3 linked regions of the Caenorhabditis elegans genome follow. The protein of the gene in region 3 interacts with the protein of the main gene of each other region in a pairwise test. Each region holds a gene or a part of one and is shown on either strand. Other genes may lie near its edges.

What was found.
Region 1: the proteins of arl-13 (region 3) and dim-1 interact in a two-hybrid assay, tested with the Caenorhabditis elegans proteins (one study listed by BioGRID).
Region 2: the proteins of arl-13 (region 3) and rps-4 interact in a two-hybrid assay, tested with the Caenorhabditis elegans proteins (one study listed by BioGRID).

Annotation. Positions count from the first base shown.
Region 1 is NC_003284.9:8,055,102-8,060,144, forward strand, and holds the start of dim-1 (Disorganized muscle protein 1), read right to left. Parts: upstream 3,120-5,043; 5' UTR 3,112-3,119; coding exon 3,067-3,111; intron 2,784-3,066; coding exon 2,726-2,783; intron 2,679-2,725; coding exon 2,601-2,678; intron 2,530-2,600; coding exon 2,476-2,529; intron 2,429-2,475; coding exon 1,893-2,428; intron 1,266-1,892; coding exon 1,091-1,265; intron 1-1,090.
Region 2 is NC_003282.8:7,083,055-7,086,645, reverse strand, and holds rps-4 (Small ribosomal subunit protein eS4), read left to right. Parts: upstream 1-1,963; 5' UTR 1,964-1,984; coding exon 1,985-2,243; intron 2,244-2,289; coding exon 2,290-2,689; intron 2,690-2,715; exon of another isoform or gene 2,716-2,774; intron 2,775-2,790; coding exon 2,791-2,911; 3' UTR 2,912-2,950; downstream 2,951-3,591. Other genes in the region: deb-1 (Vinculin), read left to right, coding at 1-169, 218-319, 373-463, 547-579, 789-958; Y43B11AR.3 (TruB_N domain-containing protein), read left to right, coding at 3,039-3,274, 3,406-3,500, 3,545-3,591.
Region 3 is NC_003279.8:2,063,959-2,069,594, forward strand, and holds arl-13 (ADP-ribosylation factor-like protein 13B), read left to right. Parts: upstream 1-1,759; 5' UTR 1,760-1,790; coding exon 1,791-1,858; intron 1,859-2,745; coding exon 2,746-2,816; intron 2,817-2,876; coding exon 2,877-3,013; intron 3,014-3,217; coding exon 3,218-3,280; intron 3,281-4,079; coding exon 4,080-4,187; intron 4,188-4,286; coding exon 4,287-4,352; intron 4,353-4,398; coding exon 4,399-4,494; intron 4,495-4,546; coding exon 4,547-4,869; exon of another isoform or gene 4,870-4,910; coding exon 4,911-5,091; 3' UTR 5,092-5,136; downstream 5,137-5,636. Other genes in the region: rpb-10 (DNA-directed RNA polymerases I, II, and III subunit RPABC5), read left to right, coding at 347-440, 492-601; moag-4 (Modifier of protein aggregation 4), read left to right, coding at 1,110-1,211, 1,275-1,421; rplp-1 (Large ribosomal subunit protein P1), read right to left, coding at 5,171-5,335, 5,385-5,555. UniProt on the Caenorhabditis elegans protein: Cilium-specific protein required to control the microtubule-based, ciliary axoneme structure. Required for normal sensory cilium function. May act by maintaining the association between IFT subcomplexes A and B.

The sequences.
Region 1 (5,043 bases), on a different chromosome or scaffold from region 3:
TAACTGTTCAATTTTCCTTTTTCACTCTAGAGAACAGTGCAAAAAACTGGTGGTGAGCGAAAGAGTACACAAGAATGTGAAGCACAGTCCCAGAAATTTTGAAGCAGCCATCAGCACAGTCTCATTGTGTGCAATATGAAAAAGTAAACGGAAGGAAAAAAGAGTAAAAAGGACAAGATGAACAGTGCAAGTAACAAATTGTTGTGCGAGATCTCTGCGTAATGAGTTCATAGCATAAAAGAAAAGTGGTCTGGTCAAAGCGAACGAGTGCAAAGAAAACAAATAGTTACGACAAGAATACATAGAACCCCCAAACATTCATTGCAGAGATGTTCGGCAATGTCAAAATTCGGAAATGTTAAAATTGCCAACCTCTCAAGGTTTAATTATTTAATTTCAAAATATACGACTAGGCTTGTAAATTTTTGAAAATATTCAGAAAGTGTCAAAATCGTAGCTCAGTTTGGATGGAAAAAATTATTCGTTTAAGATTTGAGTTTTTGATTCGAAAAAATAGAATGCTATACCACTCAATTTATTATATATTATTTGACCTATCTATTTGTCTTATTTTCAATGAAAACTTTCTTCTATTAAAATCATACTAGAAAATATACAATTTGAGCATTCACTGGAAAATAAAGAAAAAAACCCTAAGAAAGTGATTGTATGTATAATAGTAACTTCCGAAGAATGATGCATTGATGCATAAAAACGACGGGACATTTTTATCGTGTTTCCCCCCAAAAAAAATTGTATGAAAGCAAATCCTGCGTCGTCAGTCGGCGTCACTTCAATAAATATATACGTACAAGCAGAAACCTCCCTCCCGACCAATATTGTTGACTATTCTTCACAACTTGTTGCTTTTTGCCCTCCTCTTTTCCCTATTTCTTTTCTATCAAGTACTATATTTCTATGTTTGTCGGGAAAAGAGCGCACGGTAATCTCTTGCTCATTTGTTTGTTTCTAAGATCATGGAGGCGCTGTGGTTGACACAGTGTGCAGACCATTCGATTTAATTTCCAATACTGTTTTTGTTTATTTCTTCGCTTATTGATAACTGACACAAGAACAAATAAGTACTCACCATCAAAATAGTAATCATCAAGGTCTTCACTCTCTGTCGATGTTCCAACTCTGCACTTAAATGTTTTCTCAATTTGAGTACATGTAAATTGTGAATGGACTATGTACTGTTTGCAGCGGAATTGATGTTGATTGAGATCTAAACGGGGCATTTTTGACGATCGTGGATCCTTACTCTGAAAATTACAAGCCATTATTTTTTGGGAAATTAATATTTTGGAATAGTTTTGAACACTTTTGTACGTTTTCATGTTTTCATTTTTTGCAGTTTTTGCTGTGTAAAACTTTGATATGAAACATGATCTGTTTAAGAGAAACTGTTGAGAAAATACAAGATTATACATTTTAGCTTTAAAAATTTCATGCAAAGCTGTGTAAAACACGGTGAAAAAATTTGAAAAAAAAACTGGCTGATGGGTGTTAATTCAAATAGAAATTGCCTACTTTTTTGCCAATTTATGTTTCAGTGACGATTTGAATGTTTTATTGGTTTTTAAATATGAAATGTTCTCTATAAGGAAAGTTACTAATAATTTTCCAACAATAAGAACTCTTTCAAAAATTATCTTGAAAACATATAACAACTGAAGTTTTATTTTTATTTTTTTGTTAAATCGTTATGTTTAGTAAAAACTTTACATTTTATTTTATTTTACAGTTTATTGGTTCTTCTTGGTTTTAGTTGGAAATATTATGTTTGAAATTCATAGAAAGTCGGTCATGTTTTACTTTTTCACTAACTTTTATTAATTTTTATGTCACTAAACTAACTGTTAGTTAAATTTGTAAGTTTTAAAACTCACTGGTAACAGAAGTGGCCTTTTTAACAGTTTGAGAGCCTCGGTTGCATTTGTCGTGTTGGAGGTTGACACGTCGATATTATAAGGTAATTCACTCTCTGTGGCTTTTTTACTAACATGCTGTTGCTTAGCACCTGTCCTCCCTATGAAAATTCTCTTCCTATGGTTACTCGTTGCATGCGTTGATTGCGGGGTCTTCTGATTAAAATCCGATGCGATATGAGACCTCTCATGCCTCTCTTCATCATCTGACTGCTCTCCAAATTTTTCTACCTCTTTTGTTGAAACTTTCGGTAGTTTTGTGTCAGTCCTGTCACTTAATTCTTTAGAAATATAAACTGAATTGTCATCAGGTTTCATTTTCACTGGTATTATCGTCACTTCTTTGCTCGTACTGGGCGGTAACTTTCTCAAATATTGCTGCACACTTTTGTTTGAACCATTTTTCGCAGTTAATTTTTTCTGCATTTCTTGGCGTGTTTTCATCAGTCTTAAAAAATATTCAGAATGCTTCGGTTTTTCCGTCATTCCTTTTTGTTCTGAAAAAATGAATAATAGAAACATTTTTTAACGTAATCGAACATACGATTTTGTGAAATGAATGTTGTTGGTTTACTTCTTGTACAAAGGTTTTGATTATCTGAAAAGTTAATTTTATCATATTTGAATTTTGTCTTTAAAAAAATACAAATCGTATCCATTAACACCTACTATATGATCTGGGTAAGCTGTAAATTGATGTTATCTCTCCAGGCAATGGGGTTGAAGTTCTTGGGTATTCATTTAGATCTGAAGTTGAAAAATTATAAGATAATTGACAAAAACACTTTACTTACCTTTGCTAGTGCATTTAAAATGATTATTGATTTCCAGATCGTCGAAACTTTCATCAGCCTGAGTATATATAATATTTAGCGTTTTATTCTTTTTTTTTAAAATTAATTAGAGTTATTGCTTCCTTATAAGCCAGAAATTTCTGAATCGGGAATGTACGCAATATGTCGTGGGGGTGTTTGCACAAGGATACTACTCAATAAGTGGTAACACTGCACATCTCACTGTGATTATCGGTTCTTATTAAAAGTGTAAAGACTTGTGTTAAGTGAAAACACCAAGTTATTAGAATAGCAAATATTGCATCGAAACGTTGAAATTTTACAAAAGTTTTGACACTTACCAAGATGGAGTCGGAAATTTTAAAGAATGGTGCTAACGATGCCATTCTTATGGAGTTAAACTGAAAAAATTAAGATTTGTGTTGTTAATTATAGAAAAAAGGACGAGAATTGAAATAAAGGATGAGTGAGGAAAAAAAAGCTTGATGGACGGAAAGTAAACAAAAACTGATACACAAAAAGTTAAATAAACAAAAAGTGAATGAAAAGTTTAGTAAGTAAGTAAGTATTGTAGGTAAACGGGAACAGATGACTTTGTGGTTTTCAGACAAAACAAAACTTTTAAGGCGAGTTTTTTTAACCATTGAAATAATGAAACAATAATTTGATTTGGCTTTTTGAAATCTACCTAATTGTTGTCAATAATTAAAGTCAAGTTTAACTGACTTGCAATTTTGTTTTGGTTTGAACAATTGGCATAGTTTTAGAATGTATATTGTTAAGTGAGAACTTTCATTGAAAAACCATTTTCTCATCTCTGTAATCAAAACCAACTAATTTCATAAAAGTCATAAATTGAAGGTTATCATAATTATGAATTGATCAATTTTTGAAGCACCTTCGTGATAAAACTGACCACAAAAAAACTAAATGATATCGGCGTGTACACATGTGGTGTTAGGCCTAAAATCCGATATTTTCTTTCTTTTCGATAACTATGAGATCATTGTCGGCGGTAACGGGAAGGGTGACTAGGGGTCTTTTGCAACCTGGAATTGTGGGTGACCGGCATCGAGGATGACCGACATCGTGGGCGACCGTCGCCGTGTAAAAAAAAACGCACAAAAATGTGTTTGATGAATTGGGATTAAACATAAACTGATAAACAAATAAGCTATAACATTCGAACTACTTGGAGTATTTGAATTCGCAAATGGGAACACTACTTCTGTGCATTAAAGTAAAGTTTTCAGATAAATCAAACATTATCAACAACTGAAAACATTTTCGATTTAAAACTTTTAATGCTACTTAGCTATTAACCAAAATTTGAAAAAAATTTAACTTACTTGCCGGTCCTTGTAATTTGAAAATTAGATAGTGATGTTGAAAAATGTTCAACAGCTTTTATTTTGAAATGAAATAAAAATACTAATTCTAATAAAACAAGACATTAAAAGTTTTCAAAAAAATTTAAAGGATTGGAATCGGTCGTAATAAAATCGGTTGCATTCAAATTACAATGAGAAAACAACTTTTAGAATATATCGACAAGTACAGTTGGGTAGCCAGCATGCAAAACATCCAATACTTTCATTTTTCGATAACTATGAGATTACCGTCGACGGTAACGGGAAGGGTGACTAGGGATCCTTTGCTACCTGGCATCTTTGGTGACCGGCATCGTGGGTGACCATCGCCGGGTAAGAAAAACCTTAGAAAAGGTGCTTAAAGGTTGGATGGTAAACGTAAACTAACAAACAAGTATGCCGGGACATTAAACTAAAAACTATATTATTTGAACATAAGTTCGCCGATTTTTCAGGATATTAATAAAAAATCACATACCGGAAAAAAATTCAATCAGAATTTCTAAATGAGATTTAATTATCACCAATCACTCAAGAACCGATATTGAAACATGAGTATACTTTGTAAAAAATTTTGTTGCTCCCAATTGAGAATTAAAAAACAACAATATCGACAAATACAGTTGTGCTAGCAACAATACCTAAAAATCCAATACTTTCATTTTTTCGATAACTATTAGATCACCATCGGCGGTAACGGGAAGGGTGACCAGAGGTCTTTTGCGACCCAGCATCGTGGGTGACCGTCGCCGTGCAAGCTAGAGATGCGTTGCGGAGAAGAGAATTAGACAACGCCAGAGTTCAACACTACGAGACGAAACGACATCACTATTCAATTCTAAACTGTACGTACTAGCCACCTGCCTGGAGAACCCGTTGAAAATCGACTTGATCGATATTTGGTGAAAGGGTGAAAAGTAGGAGACACGAGAGGGGGAAAGATGTCAA
Region 2 (3,591 bases), on a different chromosome or scaffold from region 3:
ATTACCACAGGCTTCACATCAGCCAATGCTTGCCGCTGCTCACAATTTGCACAACGAACTGAAACAATGGAGTTCACAGGAGAACGATATTGTGGCGGCTGCGAAGAGAATGGCCATTCTGATGGCTAGACTATCACAGTTGGTTAGAGGTGAAGGTGGAACTAAGAAAGTAAGTTTTGTAGAGAAGAAGATAGTGATCTTAATGTTAAATTTAAAGGATCTCATCAATTGCTCCAAGGCAATCGCAGATTCTTCTGAAGAAGTTACCAGATTGGCAGTTCAACTTGCCAGACTTTGCACAGATATCAAGATGAGAACGGTGAGCATTTAGTTCATTCTATCTAAAGATTTAAAATTTATTTTCATTTTCAGGCACTCCTTCAAGTCTCAGAAAGAATTCCAACGATAGCTACACAATTGAAGGTCTTGTCAACAGTCAAGGCGACAATGCTCGGATCAGCCAGTGAGTTGGAAATTTATTTTTTCGTTGTTGAAATTATTTTAATTATTTTCAAATTTGATTTAAATTATCAGAACCCATTTCAGATGTCATCGGCCCATACGGTCAACCAGTCGAGGGTAAATAATTGATTTTCAAGAGTTTCGGAAACTAATTGTGTGATTGAATTTGAAGTTTTTGTCCCATTTTAATACAACTTAACAATTCTCGCGTGAATTTGAAAATTGAACGACAACATAAAACATCGAGTGCCTTAACCTTCCGATTCCCTTGATTCTCCTAATATTTCCGTTTTTCTACTCTTTAAAATAATTTTCTTGAATTTCAGGCAGCGAAGAAGATGATGAAGCAATGCAACAATTGGTGCATAATGCTCAAAACTTGATGCAATCTGTGAAGGATGTTGTCCGTGCTGCTGAAGCCGCCTCTATTAAAATCCGTACCAACTCGGGACTTCGTCTCCGTTGGCTCCGAAAGCCAATGTGGTCCAACTTCTAAATCCCCGTTCATTACCGATTCTCTTTCTTCTCAATCAATGTTTTGCATATTTTATGTATTTTTCTACTGCTTTGCTAGTCATTTAAATTTTTTGCATAATAATTTTTTTTCATTCTTAATAATGTTACTTTTCAGTTTGAAATTGCTCCAAATCTTCCACTCTCCTTTCCCCATGAATCCCTCGAAAAAGTGCCTTTTGCAACAAAAATACGTCTTTTCTACTCATTTACTGTCTACTGAAACTGCCTTTCGCTGGAATTATTCTTAAAAACTCCCCATATTTCCAATTTTTTCTTTCCAGTAGTTTTATCAGTAAATGGTCGTTTAATGTTTTTCAAAAGAAAAATTATCGAATTTGTGTAGAATGTAATTTTTATTTTTCAATTTCTTTTTTTTAGTCGCCTTTGTTTCTCCTTGAAATATTGAACAATATCGATTTTTTGTGAATAAAAACATTTAAACCACTAAAAAATTTCTTGATTTTGGTCTTAAACTACGAAAATGGAACACAAAATCTGAATATACACGAACTTCTTCGATAGGATCAAGAAAAATAGAAATAACATTTTCAGCATATTAAAAATAATTTTTTATAGTTTAATTTATTAAAATTTTTCATTGAATGTACTGATAACGAAACAAAATTCATCGAAATCGTGTCGCAGCATAAATAAAATTGTTCGTTGGAGAGGAGTTCACGACAGAGAGTGCGACAGGGCACGCTTTCTTGCGTCCAAGGGACAGCCAGTTGTACAGCTGCCAGGTCTCGCAGCGAAATTGATTTTAGGCCAGACGCAAGGAAATTTTTAGAGAGATTTTTCCTATTTCTCCTGTTCTCAACGCAAAATTTTTTAATTTTTTCATATTTTAATGAAATAACGATGTTAAATATCATTTTTGAGCGATAGTTGTGCTATGTAGTTAATCTGTTCCATTTTATGCTTACTCTCACTATTTTTATCATTACATTTTCGTGATTTCTCATTTTAAAGTTCAAAATTCCAGCTTGAGGTACACACTTGAAAAATGAGAGGACCAAAGAAGCATCTTAAGCGTCTCGCTGCTCCAAGCCATTGGATGCTCGACAAACTCGGAGGAGTCTTCGCTGTTCGTCCAAACCCAGGACCACACAAGCTCCGCGAGTCCCTTCCACTCAGCTTGTTCCTCCGTAACCGTCTGAAGTACGCTCTCAACTACACCGAGGCCAAGAAGATTCTCACCCAGAGAGTTGTCCGCGTCGACGGAAAGGTCAGAACCTGCCACAAGTTCCCAACCGGATTCATGGGTAATTATAATTTGTATTCTTTCTAGTTTTGTATTCGCGTTTTCAGATGTCGTTGCCATCGAGCGTACCAACGAGTATTTCCGTATGCTCTACGATACCAAGGGAAGATACGTCGTCCACAGAATCCAAGCTGCCGAGGCCGACTTCAAGCTCTGCAAGGTCAAGTCTGTCCGCACCGTCAACAAGGGAGTTCCAGTCCTCACCACCACTGACGGACGCACCATCCGCTACCCAGACCCACATGTCAAGGTTAACGACACCATTGTTTTCAACATCAGCACCCAGAAGATCACCGACTCCGTCAAGTTCGAGCCAGGAAATTTGGCCTACGTCACTGGAGGACGTAACGTTGGTCGTGTCGGAATTATCGGACATCGTGAGCGTCTCCCAGGAGCATCTGACATCATCCACATCAAGGATTCTGCTGGACACTCCTTCGCCACTCGGTAAGTTTGCCTAAAAGGCTAAAGGAGAATGAAGGTCGGGGGCCGCGAGGGTCGTAAAAGTCCGGCTAAGGTTGGTTGCTAATTCAAATTTTTCTTTTCAGTATCTCCAACGTCTTCGTCATTGGAAAGGGAAACAAGGCTCTCGTCTCCCTCCCAACTGGAGCTGGAATCCGTCTCTCAATCGCCGAAGAGCGTGACAAGCGTATGGCCCAGAAGCACTAAACTGTTGTTTTTGTTGAAAAATAAAATTGTTAATCTAAAAAACGACTTAATCTTCAAAAGGGAAATTGTTTTAGCAAACCTATCGCTTTGAGATATGAGACTAGTCTTAAAGTTTGCATTTTTGGATATGGGTCATCTTGATATTTGGAAGTCTTTGTCCGGTGTTCTCTGTGTTTATAAGCACTCGGGAATTTCCTCCGCTGGGTTGATCAAGCTGATTACTCGTAAGATCGCCGAATCTGTCTCTGATATTGAATCTACTTCTCGAATTCAACTTCCTCTGATCTCCATCCCAGTCATCGAAGCTCATGAAAAGTCAGGCGCTCTAGTAGTCGTCGGCCGGAATGAAGTGGCTGATTACAGGTAGTCGTAATTTAAAATATATCAAAGTTAGAGCAATAACTTGATTTTGGAAAATTTAACATATTTTAGCCAAAAATTTGGTTATTCACAAGATCTGCATAAAAACGAGAAGAATGTTCTGTTATTTTCAGATATCATCCACTTGTGTCTGGCAGATCAATCAGACAAGAGGACATTCAATTGGTAGACGTACTACCGTTGGCCACAAATAGTTCTGGAGTCTGCTGTAAGGTAGAATTAATAATTTTCAAAACAAATTGATATTTTCAGTGTTCGGTGTCAATGATGGTTGTGAAAGTATTCCAGAACTCATGTCA
Region 3 (5,636 bases):
TTTCTCTAATTTGCAATTCGATCTTGAAACAAAAAAATTCGAAAAGAAAATTGGAAAACCAATTTTAAAATCTTTGCTGCAACTACGGTCGACAACTGTGCAAACACCGCTGTGACAAATGCACTGAAAACACCATATTTCACGCGCATTGCGTATTTTGAACAATTTTCAATTTCTAGAATTTCTGCCCCCATTTTTTGTGATTTAACTTGATTTTCTTGAAGTTTCTCTTCAAAAACTTTACAATTAGCTTGTGGCAAAAGTGTTTCGTTCAAAACTTCACCAAAAATCTCGAAAAAGTGCAGTTTTCATCTTCAATTTTCGAAAATTTCAGCAAAATCACAAGATGATTATCCCAATCAGATGCTTCACATGCGGCAAAGTCATCGGCGACAAGTGGGAGACGTATCTCGGATTCTTGCAGTCGGAATACAGTGAAGGTTTTTAAAATTCTCGGATTTACTGAATGAAAAAAATCTCGTTTCTCTCAGGAGATGCTCTCGACGCGCTCGGTCTTCGTCGCTACTGTTGCCGAAGAATGCTTCTGGCTCACGTGGATCTCATCGAGAAGCTTCTCAACTACCATCCGCTGGAAAAGTAATCGGAGCCCCTTTCAATTGTTGTTGTTTTTCTGTTTTGTTGTGGCCGAATCTCAATTTTTACTTTTTTCCACCGTTTTTCCTCTTTTTCTTCACTAATTTCTCAAAATTTGATGAAACATTTGATTCAAGTTTGCTTTTTAAATTTAATTTTTGTCATATTGTATAATTGAGTTCACAGCTCATTCTTTATTTGTCCATGTGATGTGATTATTTTGCGAGAATTTGAGAATTTCCTAAACTACACCTCCTTCCACAAGTTTTCCTTCAAAAAGTTCCACGTGTCCGCTAGTCAGACTGTCTATCATTCTGACGTCTCTCATTTATCCCGCGCATTTCCTAATCTCGGTCATTTATGTCACCGAGACGGTCTGCGTTCACGACACTTTCTTATCGATTCTTTGTTTTTTTCTTCCAGAAAACCTCGTATACGGCGGCTTTGTCCATCGCTGACGGCGCTCCGGTGTGATCCGAGAAACACAGTTTTTGAGCAGCACAACTCCAACAAAAATGACTCGTGGAAATCAAAGAGATCTGGCTCGTGAGAAGAACCAAAAGAAACTGGCCGATCAAAAGAAGCGCCAGGGAGCCTCTGGACAAGACGGAAATGCTGTAAGTTTTCATTTCAAATTTCCAAATCACATATATATATCCAGTTGCAAATAAATATTCCAGGGTCTATCGATGGATGCTCGCATGAATCGCGACGCTGACGTCATGCGTATCAAGCAGGAGAAAGCGGCAGCCAAGAAAGAAGCCGAAGCCGCTGCAGCTGCTGCAAACGCAAAGAAGGTCGCCAAAGTGGACCCATTGAAGATGTGATTGATTAATTCTCACTTTTTTTTGATCATTTTTGTTTTATTTTATTCGTATTTAAAAAAACATCGTATGGGTTTCCCAAAAAAATGAATGCCTCTGTCTCCTTCTCCTGAAAAATGTATGATCACTTGGCAGCTCGCCAACCTAATCATTATCAGAGCCAGTTTCTGATTGTCTTCTTCGGCCGCCGCCTCACCTCATCTCTTCCTCCCACCCCGCGGCTTCTCTCCACAATTCTTGTGCTCTCTCGGGCTCTGGTAACTATGGCAACCGCCGCTCGTGAAAGCCGAGAGCAACTTCTTGCGTAACTAATCTCCTCGATTTCGACACCACACACTTTACCGCAAGGAAATGCGTAGAAAGTGAGAAGAAATGACCGAAAAGTCGTGGTTCGAAACTATTTTCTGCTGTTGTTGCCATCGTACACCTATTATCAGACGGTAATTCGATATTCTTAGGCTTATTTTTTTAAATGAAAATCGTTTGCTTGAAAGCATTTTTTATGAAATTTTGAAGATGTAAAACGGAAAATCCAAAAATGTTTCCTTATTCGAGGTTTTTTGGAAAAAAAATTATATTTAAAGTCGAAAATTCAGCTATTTTTAATATTTTCCGATCGATTTTTGCCATGAAAATATATTAAAAATTATTTTTATTCATTTATTTTATTTATTCTCCACTGATTTTCTTTTTTTTTGCGTTTTTAATGGAAATTAAAATGACAAAACAAGGTAATTGCAGAATGTTTGTTAAAAAATAATTGAAAAGGCGTAAAACTGTAAAATTATGATTTCCGACGACAAGCCTGAAATTAGTATATTTTACAGTTTTAGGCATTTTCAGTTACTTTTTAACAAGCATTTTGCATTTTTCTAGTTTATTTCTCGCATTTTCCGATAAAAAACACAAAAAAATGAAGAAAATAGGCCGAAAAATAAGAAAAATAAAATAAATAAATAAAAATAATGCAAGTGCGCTCCATCGAACAAGTTCAATTGGCGGAAATTCAAATAGGAATTAGGGGAAAACTGAGATTTTTTCAATTTTCAAAAAATCATATAAAATCTAGAAAAAATTTTTGAATTTTTTTATCATGATATTCGGTCATTGTGACGCCATATGCGTGTTTTAAAGCAATTTTCCCACATGAGAATTACACATCAACGAAACCCAGAAATTACAGTACTCTTTAAAGGCGCACACCGTTTTGCAATTTACAAAAATTGTCGTGTCGAGACGCAAATCCGCAAGTTTCCGCATCTGAGCAATATTTTTAGTTTGATGAATTCCCATAGATCGTGCCGAGACCCAATAGGTTTTTTTTCAGAGAAATCAAACTCGGATGTTTTGGCATCGGAAGCGCCGGAAAAACCACATTTTTGAAAGTTCTCAAGGGAGGTAAGCAAGTGCGCTCCGTCGCTCAATCCGAAATTATTTTAAAATTTGAATTTAATCCAGAAGATCCGCGGGATTTGCTCCGTACCAACGGGTTCTCCACAGTGAAAATGGAGTATGATGAGACTTTTCATTTGACGATCTACGATGTTGGCGGGGATAAGGGAATACGTGGAATTTGGAGCAATTATTATGCTGAGGTGTGTGTGTGTGTGTGCATGCGATAGGGCGCACTTTCACACTGGAGAATTTTTGAAAACTCTTATTACACGTGGATCTACAAAAAATGCGGGACTGATTTCGCATGGTTAAGAGCGTTTTGACGTCACATTTTTTTGGGAGAAAAATTCCCGCATTTTTGTAGATCAAACCGTGATTATTATAATTATTCTAAATAAATTAAGGTTCACGGAATCATCTATGTGATTGATTATTCAACGGATGAGACATTCACCGAGTCGATTGAGGTGAGAGAAGTTACGAAATTGATAAGGATTATGAATTATTCCTAAAAGTTATGAAATAAGATTTTTAGGCTCAAAATACGCTATCCGGTCTCGACACGACAACTTTTTGCAAAAAACTAAAACGGGTGTGCTCCTTTAAAAATTTTTAGGCAAAAGTACAGTAATTTCATTTACCGTATTTCTTCTATTAATATGGCCTCCCTATTAGACTTGCACTCCCTATTAGTATTGCTCCTTGAACACCCTCCGAAAATTAGTATTGCACTCCCTATTAGTGAAAAAGGCGGGGCCTAAATATGAGGTTTTCTGCAGTACACGCCACGCAGTTTTCTTATCTTGAGTGTAATATTGCACTCCCTAATAGTCTTGCACTCCCTATTAGTATTGCAAGCGGGAAGACCATCGAAAAATAGTATTGCAGCTATATTAATAGAAAAAATACGGTAGTTTTACAACTAAAACCGAGCCGCGATGCGACACGCAACGCGCCGTAGATCCACCCCAGATATGGCCGAGCCAAACTGGCCTAGTTCGGCAAACTCTTCCATTTCAATTTATGAGGAAATTCCATTAATTCCTAGGGAAGCCAGAAATTCGTGATAAAACAATTAAAACCACATATATTTTCGAAAAACTATGAAAAATCGGGCAAAGAACGTTTAAAACCACAGTAATCTTTAAAGGCGCACACCTTTTCGCATTTCACAGAAATTTGTCGTGTCGAGACCGGATACCGTATTTTCGGTCAAAATTTCAAGTCTCGGTAATAAATTACTTTTAAAAAATTATCATTCTCCAGGCTCTCCACTCCCTAACCAGCAATCCACATGTGCAGAAAAAGCCAATTTTTCTGCTCCTCAACAATCAGAACAATCGAGAATTTGATGACGTGGAAATTTCGAATGAAGTGAGTGACTTTGAGTGACTTAAATAATTTCCCGTAAACTGTCCCCGTCTTCTTCATCCCCCAGTGTTCCTTCTCTATCACGCAAACCTCTTTTCACAGACTAAAATCCAGGCGGGACAACACAAAATCGTACTTTTCTCGCATTTCAACAAGTATAACGGATATGTGAGTGCGCTTCAAGGTAGAAATTCAAAATTCCACCGATTTTCAGCTTGATAACATAAAAAGTGCCACATTGACGGTGATGGCGAGGGCGAAAAAGGATAGAAATGAGTATCAGGAGCAGTTTGTCAGATTCATCGATTCTGTAGGATTCCCATTTCATTTTCTAGAATTTTTAAAATTTTCCTTTTTTTCAGATTTCTGAGCACTATGTGGAATTATCCGAGGGTGTTAAAACCGCCGAGTTGGCGTTGAGGATCCGTCAGGAAGAAGCCAAAGAACAACGGAGACTGATGCAAATGAAAGTGGAGCACGATGCTTTGAAAGCCGACGTGGCTGGCCTGGAACTTCGGAACCAACCACCTGTGCAACCACCGATCCCGCCTGATCCTCCATCGGATCCGAAGTCCGCGTCGGTTCATATTGAAGAAAGTCCGCCGATGTCGCTTGCCAGCTCGACAATACCATCAGATATCATTCAGAGCACGCCTGAAACAGGAACTCCACGAGATCCTGTAAAGTGAGTCACATTAATTTACTTGAGAAATCCGATTGTTTCAGTTTTTGCAGAATCTCACAAACAAGCACGAAGCCTGTTTCGCCGGAATCTAACAGTGTTAAAGAAGAGCCAACTATCATTCTGAAAGACAACTATTTCTTGCCACCAAAAGCGCCTGGTCGACAATATAGCCGGATACAAAGGATTCAAAACGTTCTGAACAATCGAGTAGTGCCAAAATAACCTCCTTTTTTCACTTTTGAAGCCATAAACACTTTCTTGGTGTTGTTAACAGATTTATTGAAAACAAATAACAAGATCTTTAGTCGAAGAGACCGAAGCCCATGTCGTCATCGGATTCCTCCTTTGGCTCCTCCTTCTTCTTGGTCTCGGCAGCTGGGGCGGCTCCTCCAGCAGCTGGAGCAGCAGCGGCGGCGGCTGGAGCTGGTCCAGATCCGGCTCCGGAAGAGACAGAAGTGATGAGGTTCTGAAAACAATCGGGGTGAAACTTGAATATACTTATGAGAAATCCTTACCTTCACATCAACTCCCTCGAGAGCCTTGGCGAAGAGTCCTGGCCAGTATGGCTCGAACTCGACGTTGGCGGCCTTGAGAAGGGTAGCGATCTTCTCGCCGGTGATGGCGACCTCGTCATCTTGAAGGATGAGAGCAGCGTAGACGCAAGCCAGTTCTTGGTTCGAAGCCATTCTTCAATCGTAAGTTGCGCGGTTTGCCTTAGCTCCAAAGAGAACAAACGTTTGATAGAACGCTGAAAGAAAGTATTAATG